2 linked regions of the Alligator mississippiensis genome follow. The protein of the gene in region 2 purifies or fractionates together with the protein of the main gene of each other region. This does not show direct contact. Links are inferred from orthologs where the notes say so. Each region holds a gene or a part of one and is shown on either strand. Other genes may lie near its edges.

Region 1 (7,668 bases), on a different chromosome or scaffold from region 2:
GTGGAAAATGGAGCTGTGGATAAGTCATTTGACCTCTCTAAGGTCACATGAGAAATTCCACCCTTGTTTCTAGAGTCACCACCCTGTTTTTCCTATAATGTTTTCAGACACAGCTTGAAGTCTAGAGTCCATACTCAGATTTAGTAATTGCTTTGCTGACTTTTGAGGGACCTGGAATGATGTTTAATCCATGCTATTCTGTTTTGGAGCCATTCACTTGAGGTTAAGTGATACCAGCAGACTGATACTACTACTGCATGTCAGTGCATAAAGCCATTCGGCAAGGAGCAACCTTTAGCATTATTCTTGAAGCTGATAAGATATCAGCTCATATGGCAAAAAAGGGTTACCGAGACCATGAGCACCTCCTCCTGGCAGAAACAAGCACCTACAGATCATATGGCAAAAAAAGGGTTACCAAGACCATGAGCACCTCCTCCTGGCAGAAACAAGCACCTAGATCAGAATGCAGCCTGTTCAAATCCTGTATTTCACTCAGTGCACTTATGGATTCTGAATGGACAGCTCCAGTATCCAAAAGGAAACAGAAGATGCAACCCATATGTCGGCAACTAGCATTCTAATCTCTTCATAAGGGTGTGCAATCATTTGCTGAAGATAGCGCTTTACCTCTGCTCCCAGCACCACAAGGGTCTCTATCAGAACTGCAGTCTGCACAGTCATGTGAAGGCAACCTGCAATCCGAGCTCCTTTCAATGGTTTCGATGCTCCATACATCTCCCGCATCTTCATCAGCCCTGGCATCTCATTCTCCGCAATCTCGATGGCCTTGCGACCCCATTCTGCTAGGCTGATGTCAGCTGCAAGCAGAAGCAGGACAGGTGGTTTGGACTTGAGTACATGAAACCATGCATACATTTTAGCTTGGCATTTGCTACGACTGCTGTGAAACAAATTAGGCTGGACACCATGCAACAGCTGGGAGAAACAAAATGTCTTCAGCTCATGAAGGGTTTCTATTTTTTCCCCCATTGCATTATGAAGAATTCTATTAAGTTTTGAAGCCAGCATTTCCAAATGCAGGTACAGAAAGCAACAAATATCCCATCTAGGGACAAACTGAAAGTGGCCCAATTTTTAGAAGTACCGAGCTCTTTTTAACTTACAAAATTAACCTTAGGGCAGTAGTTCTTCCCATTCTGAACTCAAGGCACCCTTCATCAGACTTGAGGCACCCCTCCATAACTTCTGTGAAAGGACTGACACCCAATTTCAAAAAACTAATTTATACATGACAGTACTTACTTCCTTGCACAGGGAACAGGTAGTAGGGGTGGGGGAAATCAGGAGGTAGGGACAAGCCTGAGCCTCATCTCCTCTCATCTTGTAACACTGAAAGGATCTAGTGCAGAGGCAGGCAAAATATGGCCTACCAGGTGATTTCATTCAGCCCACAGGCACCCACCAATTAATTGTACCCTACCTATGCTGCATGCTTTGCTCCTACCCTCATGTGCTGGAGGGCCCTGGCCAGCATACACAGCTTCTAGGTGGGACCACTGCTACAGTTTCCAGGGGACCTGCCCAGCTTCCCCAGCCTCCTCCTCCTGTCCTGGCAATAGCACTTGCTCTGGGCACTAGGTAGGAAAGCTGTAGCTGGGCAGAAATGTGAAGCATGTGGCTGGAACTGGTGGGAACATAGAGACTAGGCCCCACCTGCACCCAGCAGGAGTGTGGAGTTTGGGTAGGCAGGATGTGGCTGTATGGGGCTTGTGAGGAATGAGGGAAGGGTGTGGGACGTGAGCCCCCACATATGCCCTTCCCTCCCCACATGGTGCACAACCCCCGCAACAGCAACACATGCCAGGTTCTGGAGGCATGGCAACCAGGCAGCACGCAGCTCCAGCCAGTTCTAGGAGCTGTACATAGTGTCAAGGAACAGAGACAGGCCAACCTGCCTCTATCACGCAGGGCTCACATGCAGCTCCCAGGACTGGTGCACCACTGGGGGAGGAAGCCCCACACGATGGAGCTGGTTGCCTTCTCCACTCCCTGCCAACATATACAGCTTACTGGACTCTGCTGGGAAGCAGGAAGTGTGGCTCCTTGCCACTTCTGGCAGAGTCCCATAAGCTCCACTTGGCAGCAGGGAGCACAGAAGACCTCTGGTTCCATCATGCAGGGTTTCCTTGTGGTGGCACCAGTCCTGGGAGCTGCATGCAAGCCCCACAAGATAGAAACAGGCTGGCCTGACTGCTCCTTTCTGCTATGTAGAGCTCCTGGAACTGACTGGAGTCATGCATCGCCTGGCAGTCACCCCTCCATGGGCTACAAGTACCCCAAGGGTCTGCCACCTGCTGCTGCTACCATTGCCAGCAAGGGCTGCGCCACATTGGGGAGGGAGAGGAAAGAAGGGGCACACACCCTGCCCACCCCCCCCCCAACCTTCCCATATATACATACCCCTCCACCCAAAGTAATTTTTCACCCCAATCTAATGGCACCCCAGAATGCCACAGCACTCTGGTTAAGAGTCACTACTTTAGGCCTTACAATTTATAAATGCAACTGAAATGTGAAACTCATTCCCACCAGATATAGTGGAAGCCGATGGTTCAGCCAGATTCAAAAAAGGGATTGGACACATTCTTGGAGTAAAGAGGCAACAGTTGCTATTGCGCAGGGCAGTTATGGATATAGACTCTGAATTGGAACTTCCTAGACCTTAAATGCTAGAGTCTGCAAGTGGGAAAGAAGTAGAAAAAAAATCCTGGTCGTACCCCATTCACTCTCCTTTTCAGCACCCACTCTGCTGCTGCATGAGACAGGATACTGTGCAAGATGGATCTATAGTCTGACCCAGTAAATAGCAATTCTTATGCCTACATCTATCACTGTGCATGCAGGTTTATTTTCGGAACGTAAGGACTTCTGAGTGCCTCATCACATATACATAGAATATGCTGGCACAGTCTATAAAACAACTTCACAAATTAAAAACAACCCAGTCTTTGCCTATCAGTTGCCGTGAATGATTCCCCCCAGCCAAACAAAAGTCTAACTTTAATCCAGAAGATCATTTCCTAAGTCCTGTAACTAAAAAGATTACTAATTTACTGCTTGTTAACAAAAAAATCCTTTAGTTGAAAAAGTAGTAAAAGCTGAGGTCAAGAGTTCCAAAATCCAAAGTTCTACAGGAGGAGGATACACTTTTCATAATGGACTTGTTTCCAGCCTTGCCTATGGAGACCACTTTCTCCATGACAGGCAGATTAACCCATCTTTTACATTAGCCCAACCCATTATTTTACATTATTTCTATGCCATAATGTCGCTTGCCACTTTGTAAGACAGTTATTCTCCTGAGAAGCCACTTATGTTAGGCTCTTCAGGAGCTCTGTACATCCCTCCCTGGGCTTGAATAACTTAAACTGCAACACCAGTGACTTTGCAACGCATTCTGTTAAGGCTAGTCAATAAATATGATGTGGAATCACAGGCTGTAATGGCAATTACAGTCAAACAGTCTGATCACAAGACAGAAAACATTTCCGACCTATAAGATCCCAATAATTCCTAAACCAAGCCCACCCCTTTGGTGTCAGCAATAGCTTGTACATAATAGGCCTTCATTGGCTTGTATACATCATGGTGCCAGCAGGTCTGGGAGAGGCCACATCAAACATACCATGACCACCAACACCCTCCAGAGCTAAAAGTTTGTCAGTGAGGCCTGTTCAGGTTTATCCCCCAAAGTCGCTTCCAGGCCTGTCACAGACTGATGGTTCAAAAACAGGCACAACAGGATGAGCTCAGTGGCAATCCTCTAGGTTTGGATTGCACCTGTAGCCATCAGCGAGTCAAGCATGCCGGCTGTCCTCCTAGCTGGCACCTGCCACTGTTTGGGGCCATTGCTGCAGGAAGGATGAAAGCAACTAAGGAGAACTGAGCCCTGGAGGTTAACATTGTCTAGGGCTTATTTAAATAGGACCAGCAGTGGGATGTGGAGCAGAAAGGAAGGTCTTGGGGCTACTTCGGGCTGCTCATGTAACGGGTGGAAGCAGTCTATAGGAGCAGCTTGGATGTGTCCTAACGGAGGGACCCAAGTAGTTTCCTACAGATATCTCCTCCCGCTTCCTGGGGTTGAAGTAAAGCAGCGCTCGTAGCAGCTAGGGGAGGGGACGCTCTCCGCAAAGCCGTGCAGGGACTGTACAAAAAACAGCACCGGGACAGAAGCCGGCCCCGTGCGCCCAAGGGAGTAGGCCAGGCCAGCCCTGCTCTGCTCTGCTCCCCGCGGAGCTACAGACCCTGCACCCGCCCGGCCCGGCCGCGTGAGGAGCCCGCAACTGAGGCCGGGGGGAGGCGCCGGGCTCCTGCAGGGGGAGGCGGAGCCGCTGCCCCGGGCAGGTTGCCCAGCCCCGCGCAGAGCCGGGTCCGGCTCCCCACGTGGCGGCCGCGCTGCAGGCCCTACCGGGCGCAGCGAGAACCCACTCACCGACTTTGTAGGGCAGCTTGTCGGACATGCCGGGGCCGGGATCCGGAACCGCGGGCTGCGGGCGCTGGGCGGGCTGCGCGAGCTCGTGCGCGCGCCGGGTCAAGGGCTGAGGGAGGTGCTGGCGCCAAAGCCGGCTTTAAATAGGCTCCGTTCCGCAGCCCGCCGCAGCCAATGCCCGCGTGGGGCGGGGCTGAGCCGGGCCGGCCGTGGGGAGCGGAGCGGAGCAGAGCAGAGCATGCGGGCAGGCCTGGCGCGGGGCCTTTGCCCGCTCCGGGCCCTCGCCCGCTCGCACTGGCGGCAGCTGAGCGATCAGGCCATGTCCGTAGGCCCTGGCCTTCCTCCTGCCCCTACTCCTGCCACGTGCCCGAGCCCTCGGGTCAGGGGAGCCGCGCGGGCGCTTCTGGGCCCCGTGGCTGGAGCGGGGCCCGAGGTGAGGTGCAGCCACGCGCCCGCGGAGGGGCCCGCGCGGACGAGCGGCGCCGAGGGGGGGAGCCGCAGGGACGCGGACGAGCCGCGCTGCCCCTTCAGCCTGCGGCCCCTTGCGGGAAGTGCCCGCTCTCGGCTCGTGCTGGGCTTTGGACTGGGAAAGATGCTGGGGCGGGTCTTCTGGGGAAGACGGGGGTGTGGGGAGCCCGGGCGACGGGCTTCTCTGCTGGGAGTCTCGGGTCACCTTGGGAATCCTGTCGGGCTGTGGCTATCGTGGAAGGCAGGGTAGATGTGGACCTGCAGACCAACGGAAGTGTGTGTGTGTGTGTCTCCTCTGCAGTCCCTCCATCAGCTCACTGTTGGGTCTTGAGGTGCCTTGAGCCCAATCCTAGAGCTAGGATCCATCTTCAAAAGCTTGCAGGTCTTTCTATGGGGGAGATTAGGCTATAGGCTGGGATTCCTCTTCCTTTCCTTCCTCTGCTCTCTCTTTGCTTCAAGGGCAAGATGCTTTATCTCAAAGCAGGTTGTCAGCAGAAGCTTTGGTGAGCTAAATCTACTTTGTTGGATGCTGACACCTCATGAAGTGAACTTCAGTTCACAAAAGCTTCTGCTAGCTAGCTATACATATATGTGTGTGTGTATATAGTTTGCTTAGTCTAAGGTGCAACCCTACTCTGCCTCCCACTTGACTTCAGACTGACACAGGTAACTATAGGCATGTCACATTTTACGTGGGGGTTACGTTCTAAAGGCAGCACAAAAGGCGAAAATCGTGTATAGTGAAATCGCGTTACCGTGCCAGCGGTGACTGCCTCTGCTTCCAAAACCTCCTGCTGCCGCCACAGAGCTGTGCTTAGAGCTGTAGGGCCAGCGGCAGTGGCGCAGCGCAGGGTGGTGGTGGGGATGGCTGCGTGCTACCCGGCCACCACCACACCTGGCGGCCGGCCCACAGCTCCGGGCACAGCAGGAGGTTTTGGAGGCAGAGGCAGTCACCACTGGCAGCGTGGCAGTGGCTGGGCCTCCAGGTAAGCGGCAGCTCTGTAAGGGGGTAAGCACTGTTATAAATATTTTTTTGAAATGATGTACCACTCAATTCACAAAAGGCACCATGATGTAGACAAAAGTTATGGAGGGGTACCTCAAGTCCAAGGAGGCATGCCTTGACTCTAAACAGGTTGAGAACCACTATTTTAGGGCAGTGATTCTCAGCCTTTTTTGTACCAGGCCCCATTTGTAAACATCAATGGCCAGTCCTAACCCAGTGCCCCTCACTGCTGACCTGCTGCCCCCAGGCCCCAGCCCTCCATACATCCACCCCTTTCCCCACACATTGGAGACATGGGGAGCCCCAAGCAGCCCCAAGAATCCCTTGAGACTGGAACTCTGCCAGCCTGCAAGGGAAAAGCCACGGTTTTCCATGTTTTTCTCCATTAAAAGAGAATCCATTTTTGAAGTTTGTTGATCCATTTTTAAAGTTTGTCCACAGCCCTTATATATATTCTTGCAACCCACTTGTTGAGAAATCCTGCTTTAGAGGGTCACAATCTAGGGAATCAGGAATAGATGAGGTCCAGGCCAGAGTCAAGACTCAGGGGAAGCAGAAGCAGGCAGATGAGGGCTTGAAGTCTGCAAAGGGACCAAGGTTAAGCCACTAATAAGGGGCTTATAGGGGGCATAGTTAAGATCAGGAAGCCAGGATCCAGACTGGTGTTACTAGCCAAGGAGTACAGAGTAGAGAACTGCAATTGTAAGGGACCGGAATGTGAGCGTGCAGGTAACTTGAGGCCATCTAGGGGGAATTGCTCCACTTGGGTAACAAGGGCCAGATAGGAGCTAATTAATTTGCCCCTGATACTAGGGTTTACACTGGCATAGCTACATTTGGTTAAAAAATCATTCCTCTACCTGGCATATCAATAGTGAAATCTCTTTTTAAATGTTGACTAGGCCTAAGGAATGCATATTATAAAATTCCTACAGCCTCTGTGTTGTACAGTAGTACAACAAGCAATGTTTTGCTCTTTTCAGAACTTCTTCCTCAGAAAAGGAAGAACAAAGACCTTTTCCATACAGCCCTTCATTTTATTAGTCTGTGTAACTAGTTAATCTGTTACACATTTATACCATGCTCTGTACTTTGCTGGATCACCCATGCAGATCAAGAGAGCCATATTTCGAAGGTCAGACCCTCACAGTGTTAGTCCTGAAAATGGGATGTTCAGGTGAAACTGCACATTGAGCAATTGCTAATGGCTGATCTCAAGGCAGATTAAATCACTGTTTCTGTTCTGAACTTTAGACTTAGTTGTTGTGTATTTTTAGCTTGTTAGCTAGTTAAATGAATGCAATTGCTTGAGAAGGTGAAGAGACAGTCAAGCCAGACTAGATCATTGGCCTTTCTGACCTAGTCTCCTGCCCATAGCCAGAACCAATGCCTGCAGCTTCTAAGGAAGGCAAAGATCCTCATAATAAATCAGAATGTTTAGGCAATAACGTTCATATTTACATTGGTTTTTCTCTTTTCCACTATGTGAAATAAGTTCCTCAGAAGCAGCACATGTAAAACTGGGAGAATAGCTCATAGCTGATATTTTGAGATTAGTTTGACCTCGTATTGTTTGGGAATTAGCTGCAGGCAGAGGATTCTTTCATCAGATGTTATGCAAAAGTTTTTCGTTGTGTTGACTAATCTAAAAAAAAAAGTAGTGAAGGAGTAGGTCAAGCTGTCCTTGATATTCTGTGATAAATCCTATTAAGTCATATAGTCCTGTTGCATTTTAGGGATT
Region 2 (7,911 bases):
AATTCTGTTTGTATCATATGTTTTTATTAACAACCTTACACAACAGAGTTGTGCAAACCAAACCAATATTGAGAACTGAAAAAAAATATCTAGCATATGACAAAGAAGGCTTTGGTTATAAGTGCCACTGTCTACAGCAGAATTAAACTATTGTAAACCAAACAACTTACAGTAAAGGGAAAAATTCTGGAACATCAATCACAAGTTTAGGAATTTTTAAACAGCAAAACTCAAAAATATGTACATACAAACAATCAAACATTTTTATACATTTTAAACATGTCACTTGCTACACTCCTAGAAGTGTTTAGTTCACATACCTATACAACCAGAAAAAGCACTGAAACTTTGTGAACTAACCACTTGTCCACAGGTCCTGCCTAGACACTTTGTCATAATTATGGAAGCGTTTATATAAATAAGTCAATTAAATTCACAGAAGCTAAAAGAAACAATATAAAACTCCAGCTGTATATAAATCTGTACATTATAGTCAGTCTTGTTTTTTCAGAAATCTTGTGTATCTTCTTTAAAAAAAAATTGTTCTTTATTGTAAAATGTTGGCAATGAGACAGCGTTAGCTGGAATGGAAACTTGAAGACTCTGATTCTGTAGAAACAGAAGAATGTCCTGCACGTTTGCCTTTTGAAAGGATTTTTAGGCTCGATCCTCTGCTAACTGATGTCAAAGCATTCTGCGCTGATGTTTTGAATTTGGCACCCAGGAAGGCATAAAGAATTGGATTCAAGCAACAGTGGAAAAATGCTAGGGCTTCTGTAATGGAGATCCATTTGGTCACCATTGTCTCAAAACTGCACCGTGGTCTGAAGACCCCTAGCAAGATGAAGGTGTCAATGCTGATGCCAATGTAGTAAGGGAGCCAGCAAGCAAAGAAAGCAAGGATGAGAATGACAGTAGTCTTCAATGCTTTGCGCTTTTGGTGACCTTTTGAGTGTGACAGCTTAGAAATGATAATACAGTAGCAAATCAGGATTATTAGACCAGGCAGAACAAGTCCTACCAAGATATGTTGAAATCTGAAAGAAATCAGCCAGTTGTCATGAGGGTATATGCGGTCACAAAGGTACTTTTCTCCTACTTCAGTAGTTTTGGCAAAGATTAGATCAGGCACTGTCAAAAGCAGAGCTGGAAGCCACACACCTATATATACTACTTTTTCAGCGAGCAGCTTTCTTGGTCTTTGGCTATTGGTAGCATGGACTATAGCCAGGTAACGATCTAAGCTTATAAAGGCCAAAATCAGGACACTGCTGTAGAGGTTGACTGTGTAAATGACATGTATGGCCTTGCAAAGGAACTTCCCGAAGTACCAGCCTATGGCTGCATCCACAGACCAGAATGGCAACGTGATGACAAACAGGAGGTCGGCCACTGACAGGTGCAACCTGTACTTGTCGGTCATGCTTCTCATTTTCTTCTGGTAGCCCATGACAACGATAACCAATCCATTGCCAATGATTCCCGTCAGGAAGATGATGGAGTAGATGGTTGGCAAAAAGATCCGGTTGAAATCAGCATTTTCTTGCCAATAGCATGGCTCTTTAAGGTCAAGTTCACCTGAACCAACCTCATCGGTGCCATTATCAGGGAATTCAAAGGAGACCCCAGAAGACCACTGCAATAATAAAAGTAAAAAAAGAACAGCTGTTAGCTCCAGCTCATCCAAGACACTTCACAATACAGAGAAGCCAAGTAAAGCTTTGACCCCTAGGGGGATAGAAGAATGAATTAAGTGCCTGGGAAACAGTGATGGTGATGAAGGATAACTGCATTTCCCCACCATGTCATTCTATAGAGCAGTGGTTCTCAAACTTTTTTTTTTTCACAGAAAAAATTGCTGAGGGTCTCGGCGGACCACTTAAAACTTTTTTTTGTTCTACAAATCAAAGCACACAACTCCTATTTTAATACCTTACAAGCAAAGATATTCTCAATCGTCCCACAACCTTTGTGCGGACCACCTGAACGGACCTTGCGGACCAGCGGCCACAGACCACAGTCTGAGAACCTCTGCTCTACCGTTCAGTGCTGACAGTGGGCCCTCCCCCGTGAGAAACGGGAGAGACCTACTGGATCGCCCAAGTCCAGTAGGTCCCAGTTTTATCCTTTGACCCTAACTGACTTCCTGCCCCTGGGGCAGGGGGCTGGACTCGATGATCTTCCGAGGTCCCTTCCAGCCCTGACCTCTATGAAATCTATGAAATCCAGAGGTTCCCAAACATCACCCCCGCTTGCAGCTTCCCGGCACGCCCCAAAGCAGCATCTGTTTTACGTTTTCACCCCTTACATGCCACTGTTCTAACGAGAGTCAAGTCTCCTGCCTGCCCCACTGAGATGTGTCCGCCTAGACCATCTCCTACCACTTTCCCAAGGATGCCAGTCCAGGCAGTGGTTTCGCTTGCTCATTAGGTGCAGAAGTACGGGGAGCAAACCCGCTTGTGCCCGCTGCGGGCTGCATCTGTAGTGCTGGGAGCCCGGCAGGGAGGAGGGGAATCCCGGGCAGGAGGAGGAGGAGGGGATCCCTGCCTAGCAGCATAGGAGCCCGGGGGAGCCGGGCAGAAGCGTCCCGTGCAAACGGGTAGCGAAAGCAGCGCGGCGGGAAATCACCAACGCTCCGGACTCCCGGCGTGAAACTCCCGCCTCGCCCCCGGGCTCCGGCCACGTGCCGCCCCTGCTCCGGGCAGCGCCTGCATGCATGTTGTGGGGGAGGGAGTGGGGGTTCACCTCCGGGCAGCATCTGCCGGGGCCGGGCTGAGCCCCGTTGGCACCCGCGCCGTCTCCTCCCCGCCGGGAGCCGGGCTCCTGCCCTGCCTTGCCCGCGCCTCCCCGCCGGGGCTGCAGCCCGCCCGCCCGCCCGCCCGCCCGCTCACACGTGGCCCCTTGCCCAGCGCCGCGCTCACCCCGTCCAGCCCGTCCAGCTCCATGCTGCCGCCCCAGCGTCCTGCGGAGCACGCCCCGCGCCGCCCCGGCTCTTATCGTCTCCGCCGCACCCGGCCCGCCTGGCTCCTCCCCGCGGGGCCGGCCCTGCCCTGCCCCGCCGCCCCGCGCTGGGTGGGGCCGTGCCCGTCCCGGGGATGGCAGCCCATTGCAAAGTGAAGGGCGCGCGATTGAATTGAGCCCGGCTGGGCTGGGCTGGGTTGGGCCGGCCCGCGCGGGGCCGGGGGCACCTGCTGGCTGGGGAGCGGCCCGGACACCCCGAGCGAGAGAGAGGGGACATGAGTGAGCAGCGCGCTGCCCCTTCTCCGCCGGGGTCTCTCCTCCGCGAGGTCCCGTGCTTGTCGGCCGTGGAGCCGGCCTGCGCTCGGGACTCTGCGGCGGCACAGGGCGGGATGATGACTGAGCAGCTCGTGGGCTGAGAGGGGCAGGCAGGCAGGCAGACGGCAAGGGAAGGAAAGGAAAGGGAAAACAGAAAAGCAGCATCTGTGATCGGTGTTCACATTTCCATCGCCAGTGCAGCTGTGTGATTAAAACCTCTAAATACAAAGCATGGGCGACTGGTGCCTCCTGAGTTGGGAGGGGCACTTGCCCCCCCGCATCCAGTCGGCAACTAGGGGGGGTCCCCCCAATGGCTGATCACAACAAGTGCCAGGGGCGCTTTTCCTGGAGCCCCCACCCCCTCACCAGCGTGCTTAGGGGGACACTGCCCCCCCCCCCGCCTATCACCTAAGCGGGGTACGCTGGCTGTCGGGGTGCACCAGCACTCTTGGGGTGCACATGCACCCCTGTGCACCCTCTACACCACTGATACAAAGGCTTCCCACTGGCCGGGCACCTTTGGAGCAGCTCCTACTCCTGGTTCAAAGTTGAAAGCATTGACTGTGGGCCAGATTGAATGAAAAGTTCAGCACAAGCCACCAAAAAGTTGCCATTTCATTTGGGTGCCTCAGTACTGGAGCTCTATGGAAAATCTGGCTCTGAGTTGCCAGAAGTTAGGATGTTAACAGGTGTGTTTTGATGGAGAATGTGTTCTGGGAAAGACAGAGAAGGTCAGGTGTGGACTCCAGCTGCATACCTGGTACATCTACAGTATGTTTTGCTGCCTCTCCTGGGGCTGAAACTATGACCAACAGACTTGCAGACAAGCTGAAAAAAACCTTAGGGGTATCACAGATTTTAAGACTAGGTACAGAAGTTTGAGGGCCAGTGTACTAGTTAATAGGAAAGGCATACTGGATGTATTAGAGATGTATGGTTTGTCTACACAGAAAAATGAGGGTGTAGGCATGTGTGGATTGTCATATATGTACTAGATTGAATGTAGATAGCAAGAACAACAACAGCAATGCAGATGTGGGATTACAGACTCTAAAGCAGTGGTGGCTAGCCTGCGGCACAAGTGGTAGGCAGCAGATGGGCAGCTTCTTTGTGTGGTAGGGAACAGATGTGGGAGGAGACAGGCAGCACAACAGCAGGTAGAGCAGGAAGCAGAAGGTAAAGGCGGAGATCAGGCAGGGAGTACAGGTGGGAAACAGAAAGTAGACCAGGAGACTGGGTGGGGAGAACAGAGTATGGAGCGAAAAGCAGAGCAGCACATTGGGCAAAGGAGGGAGATTGGAGTGGCTTTTGGGGAGGTTATGGTGCTAGTTTGTGGTATGCAAAAAGATTGACCCCCACTGCTCTAGAGCATGTTGGTAGTGGGTTTATGATGTATTTGTATTGCTAACTTGAGCTGAAGCCCATTTTACCTCTGCTATTGTTCCCTTTGCTGGATTAAAGTGAGTTTACTCTGCTATTACTATTTCAGTTTACTACGGAGGTTTAGGGTCAGTGTGAGAAGTGGGAAGTGGTTTCTTGAAATAATTGAATGAATGACATTAAATTGCACTAGGACATATATACGAAGGTTGGGGTTGAGGGATGTCTTAGCTCCTGGAACTGTGGTTCTGAATTCTGATAGCATGCACAGATTATGCAGGACAGGGGTGCCCACTCTTTGGCCCACAGGTCAGATGCAGCCTGCAAACCCAGTGCATCTGGCATGCAGGGCCCCTAATGGGGCAGGAAATTTGGTGGCAGGGAAGCAGTGTCCATTAATACAGACATCCTCTCTTCACCAAATTCCCAAACTCCAAGCTCTGCATGGCTGGTTGCAGCCAGGCCTCACCCTTTCCCCTGCATCTGGACCAGGGGCTGAGTCACACCCCCTCCCAGCCACAGGCTAGGTTGATGCCAGGTTATGTGCACTTCCCTTCCTGCAGAGCTGGGATACATCCCCTTGCCCCTGTCCTGGGGCCAAGCCATGACCTCTTTTTCCCCTTAGGGCCAGATTGGGGCCATGACTCCCTCCATGGGGGCAAGCCACACCCGCTTTATCCCTATGGGGCCAAGCCATGTCCTCTTTCTCTGCAGGGCTGGGTTGCAGTTGGGTTGCTCCGCATCCCCCTCTGCATTGCTGGATGGTGCCCACCATGCTGGGCCCGGTGCCAGATTGAGAGCTGCGCAATCCAGCCCATCCAGCCAGCTGGGGAAAAAAGGTTGAGCACTACTGAAGTAGGATATTTGAAGATTGGCCAAATGGGATAGCACTGGAGTACAGACTCCCTGAATCCAGCATAAATCTAGATCAGTGATTCTCAACCAGGGTGCTGTGACATGCTGCGTACCTTGATACCCTTTCTAGGGTGTCACAGGGTGCCATGCAGTATTAGCACTGTTAGGTGGGCAAACAACTCGCACGATAAACCCATAGACATTTCAAATAGGAATCCATAATGTTGAAGACATTCTAACCTGTTGTGGTCTTTCTGAGTTCATTGCAACAGAAGAATTGCTCTATTATTTTCTTAAAAAAAACAGCGAAAACCAGGAGTTGGCATTTTTTTGAATGGTGCCTTGCATCTATTGAGGGGTACCTCTAGTCTAAAAGGGCTGAGAACCACTGATCTAGATGTGTTGTATCTATAGTTGCTTTTCTTTGCCCTACCAAAAATGCATGTGAAAACTTCTTTTGTTGTAAGGGGGACTGCAGTGTGAGGGTTAATGATTTCCAAAGTGATAAAAGAAGCATGTAATTCAATGAGTGAGCTACAAATCTTCAAGAGACAGTGCAAGCAAATAGCAATTTACAAGCTAATGTATTGCACTAAATGTTTTTCTGATGAGAAAATTACTGTGGAAATCAGGTCCCTCCCAACACAGTGTGCATTTGTTTCATAAAAACATGCAATTTGGGAAGTGAAATCCTACATATTCTTAAACTATAGTGCAAGCAACCAAGGTCCTCAGGTTGTGAATCATTAACATGGATTTTGTCTGCTAAAAAGAAATATCTATGTCTGTCAATGAAGAGTAAAATTGTTCCTGATATATTTAGTTGAAAAACTAGTTATAAAGCATGTTTCCAGAGAGCCAGAGTAGAAAAATAATTTATATTTAATTATTGTGTGGGTTACCTCATTTAAGGAGTTGAATGTGATCTTAGGGAAGCAAAGTTTCAGCTAATGAAATGCTGATTACACAGTTCTGTGGGTAGGGCACCTAGTACACGTGGGTGCTAATCCCTGATTTATGCTGTGTAGATACCACCACAATGCACACAAATAGTAATAGTCTGTATCATGCTATGTGAATTAACTGCTCCTCAGTTTGTAAGGTGCTACACTGCTGTCTTCACATATGTTTCTTAATATATAGGCAGAAGGCAGGGTAGAATTGCACTTTATAGACTAACTAAAGCAGAGATGTATAGCATAAGCCTCCATGAGACCCAGCTTTACTTTGTCATTTGCTAATTAATTCAAAGACTCATGCTATACATCTATGATTCAGTTAGTCTCTACTGTGCAAATCTACCCTTGCTTCTGCCTGACTTGAGACTAACACGGCTAACTACCTCTCTCTTCAGTATATATCCATACATATACATACACTATTAATCTGCCTAAATTACTATGCCATTTATTATAGATGCATTTTTAACTACTCACATAAGCATATACAAACCCAGTATATTTTAGGGTTTTATAAAATAGCCTTTGAGGTAGAAAAAATACATACTGGATTAAAAAAAAAGGCAGGAAATCTGCCCAGAATTATTGTTTATGTTTGGGAAGAAGTTTGGGGAAGAAAGGATAGTTTCTTATACAAAGGAGAGGGATCTGGTGTTAAGGAACAGGCTGGCTATTGTAATGGGGGCAGAGCAGGGCAGCGGGGCAGGAACATCCCTGATCTCACCTGCTCCAGTTAGGAGCAAATTTTCTCCCAAGTCAGTGCATGTTTAGACCCTTTCTCTGAGGGCAATTTACTTCTCCTTTTTAATATGCAGTAACTACTGTGGATGAATACCATGTGTAGATGTGCCCCCCATAATTCTTCCTATAGTTACTTGTTTGGGAGCTTAACAAACAAAACAACAGGAAATGCAGAGAAGGCAAAACATTTGTTTCAGTTGGGGTCGTATCATGTGCCATAATAATGACACTGTGCAAAGGCGTGTTGTTCAATTGTTTCTTATGGAGCAAATTAAAGTAAAAGCTTTAGCATCCTTAAAAGACAACAGAATATGACATTTATGGCGTAAGGGAGTACACCTAGTTGCTTCCTGCCTTTGAGAGGACTGAAATTGGCCCGGTGTGTGCATGATGGTAATTAATTTAGGTTTCCTTCAAGTATTCCTTGCCTGGACCTCCACTGGGTTAAGATCTTAATGGTCTGCCCAGAAAAGATGAGCCTAATAATAATACTCTTATTATTTAATCATAATCTAATAATACTCATATTATTTGTGCTCTAATCCCATCTCCATCTGTAGCCTAAAGCAAATCACTTAACCTCTCTGCTGTGTTCACTCAACTGTAAAATGTGGGTAAGAGTACTTACTTACCTGCCTCGGAGGAGTGTTGTAGGGACTAATTGTTTGATGTTTGGAAGGCCCTTTGAAGATGGAAAGTA

Evidence for each region. The genes of interacting proteins can lie anywhere in the genome.
Region 1: the proteins of CXCR4 (region 2) and ITCH purify together in Homo sapiens (affinity purification with western blotting; 5 studies listed by BioGRID and IntAct, with this or other methods). This does not show direct contact. The link is inferred for Alligator mississippiensis from reciprocal best matches to the Homo sapiens genes CXCR4 and ITCH.

Annotation. Positions count from the first base shown.
Region 1 is NC_081832.1:24,365,661-24,373,328, reverse strand, and holds the start of ITCH (E3 ubiquitin-protein ligase Itchy homolog), read left to right. Parts: upstream 1-4,656; 5' UTR 4,657-4,886; intron 4,887-7,668. Other genes in the region: AHCY (adenosylhomocysteinase), read right to left, coding at 631-821, 4,457-4,484. UniProt on the Homo sapiens protein: Acts as an Acts as an E3 ubiquitin-protein ligase which accepts ubiquitin from an E2 ubiquitin-conjugating enzyme in the form of a thioester and then directly transfers the ubiquitin to targeted substrates.
Region 2 is NC_081827.1:237,449,898-237,457,808, reverse strand, and holds CXCR4 (C-X-C chemokine receptor type 4), read right to left. Parts: upstream 3,017-7,911; 5' UTR 2,946-3,016; coding exon 2,922-2,945; intron 1,637-2,921; coding exon 578-1,636; 3' UTR 3-577; downstream 1-2.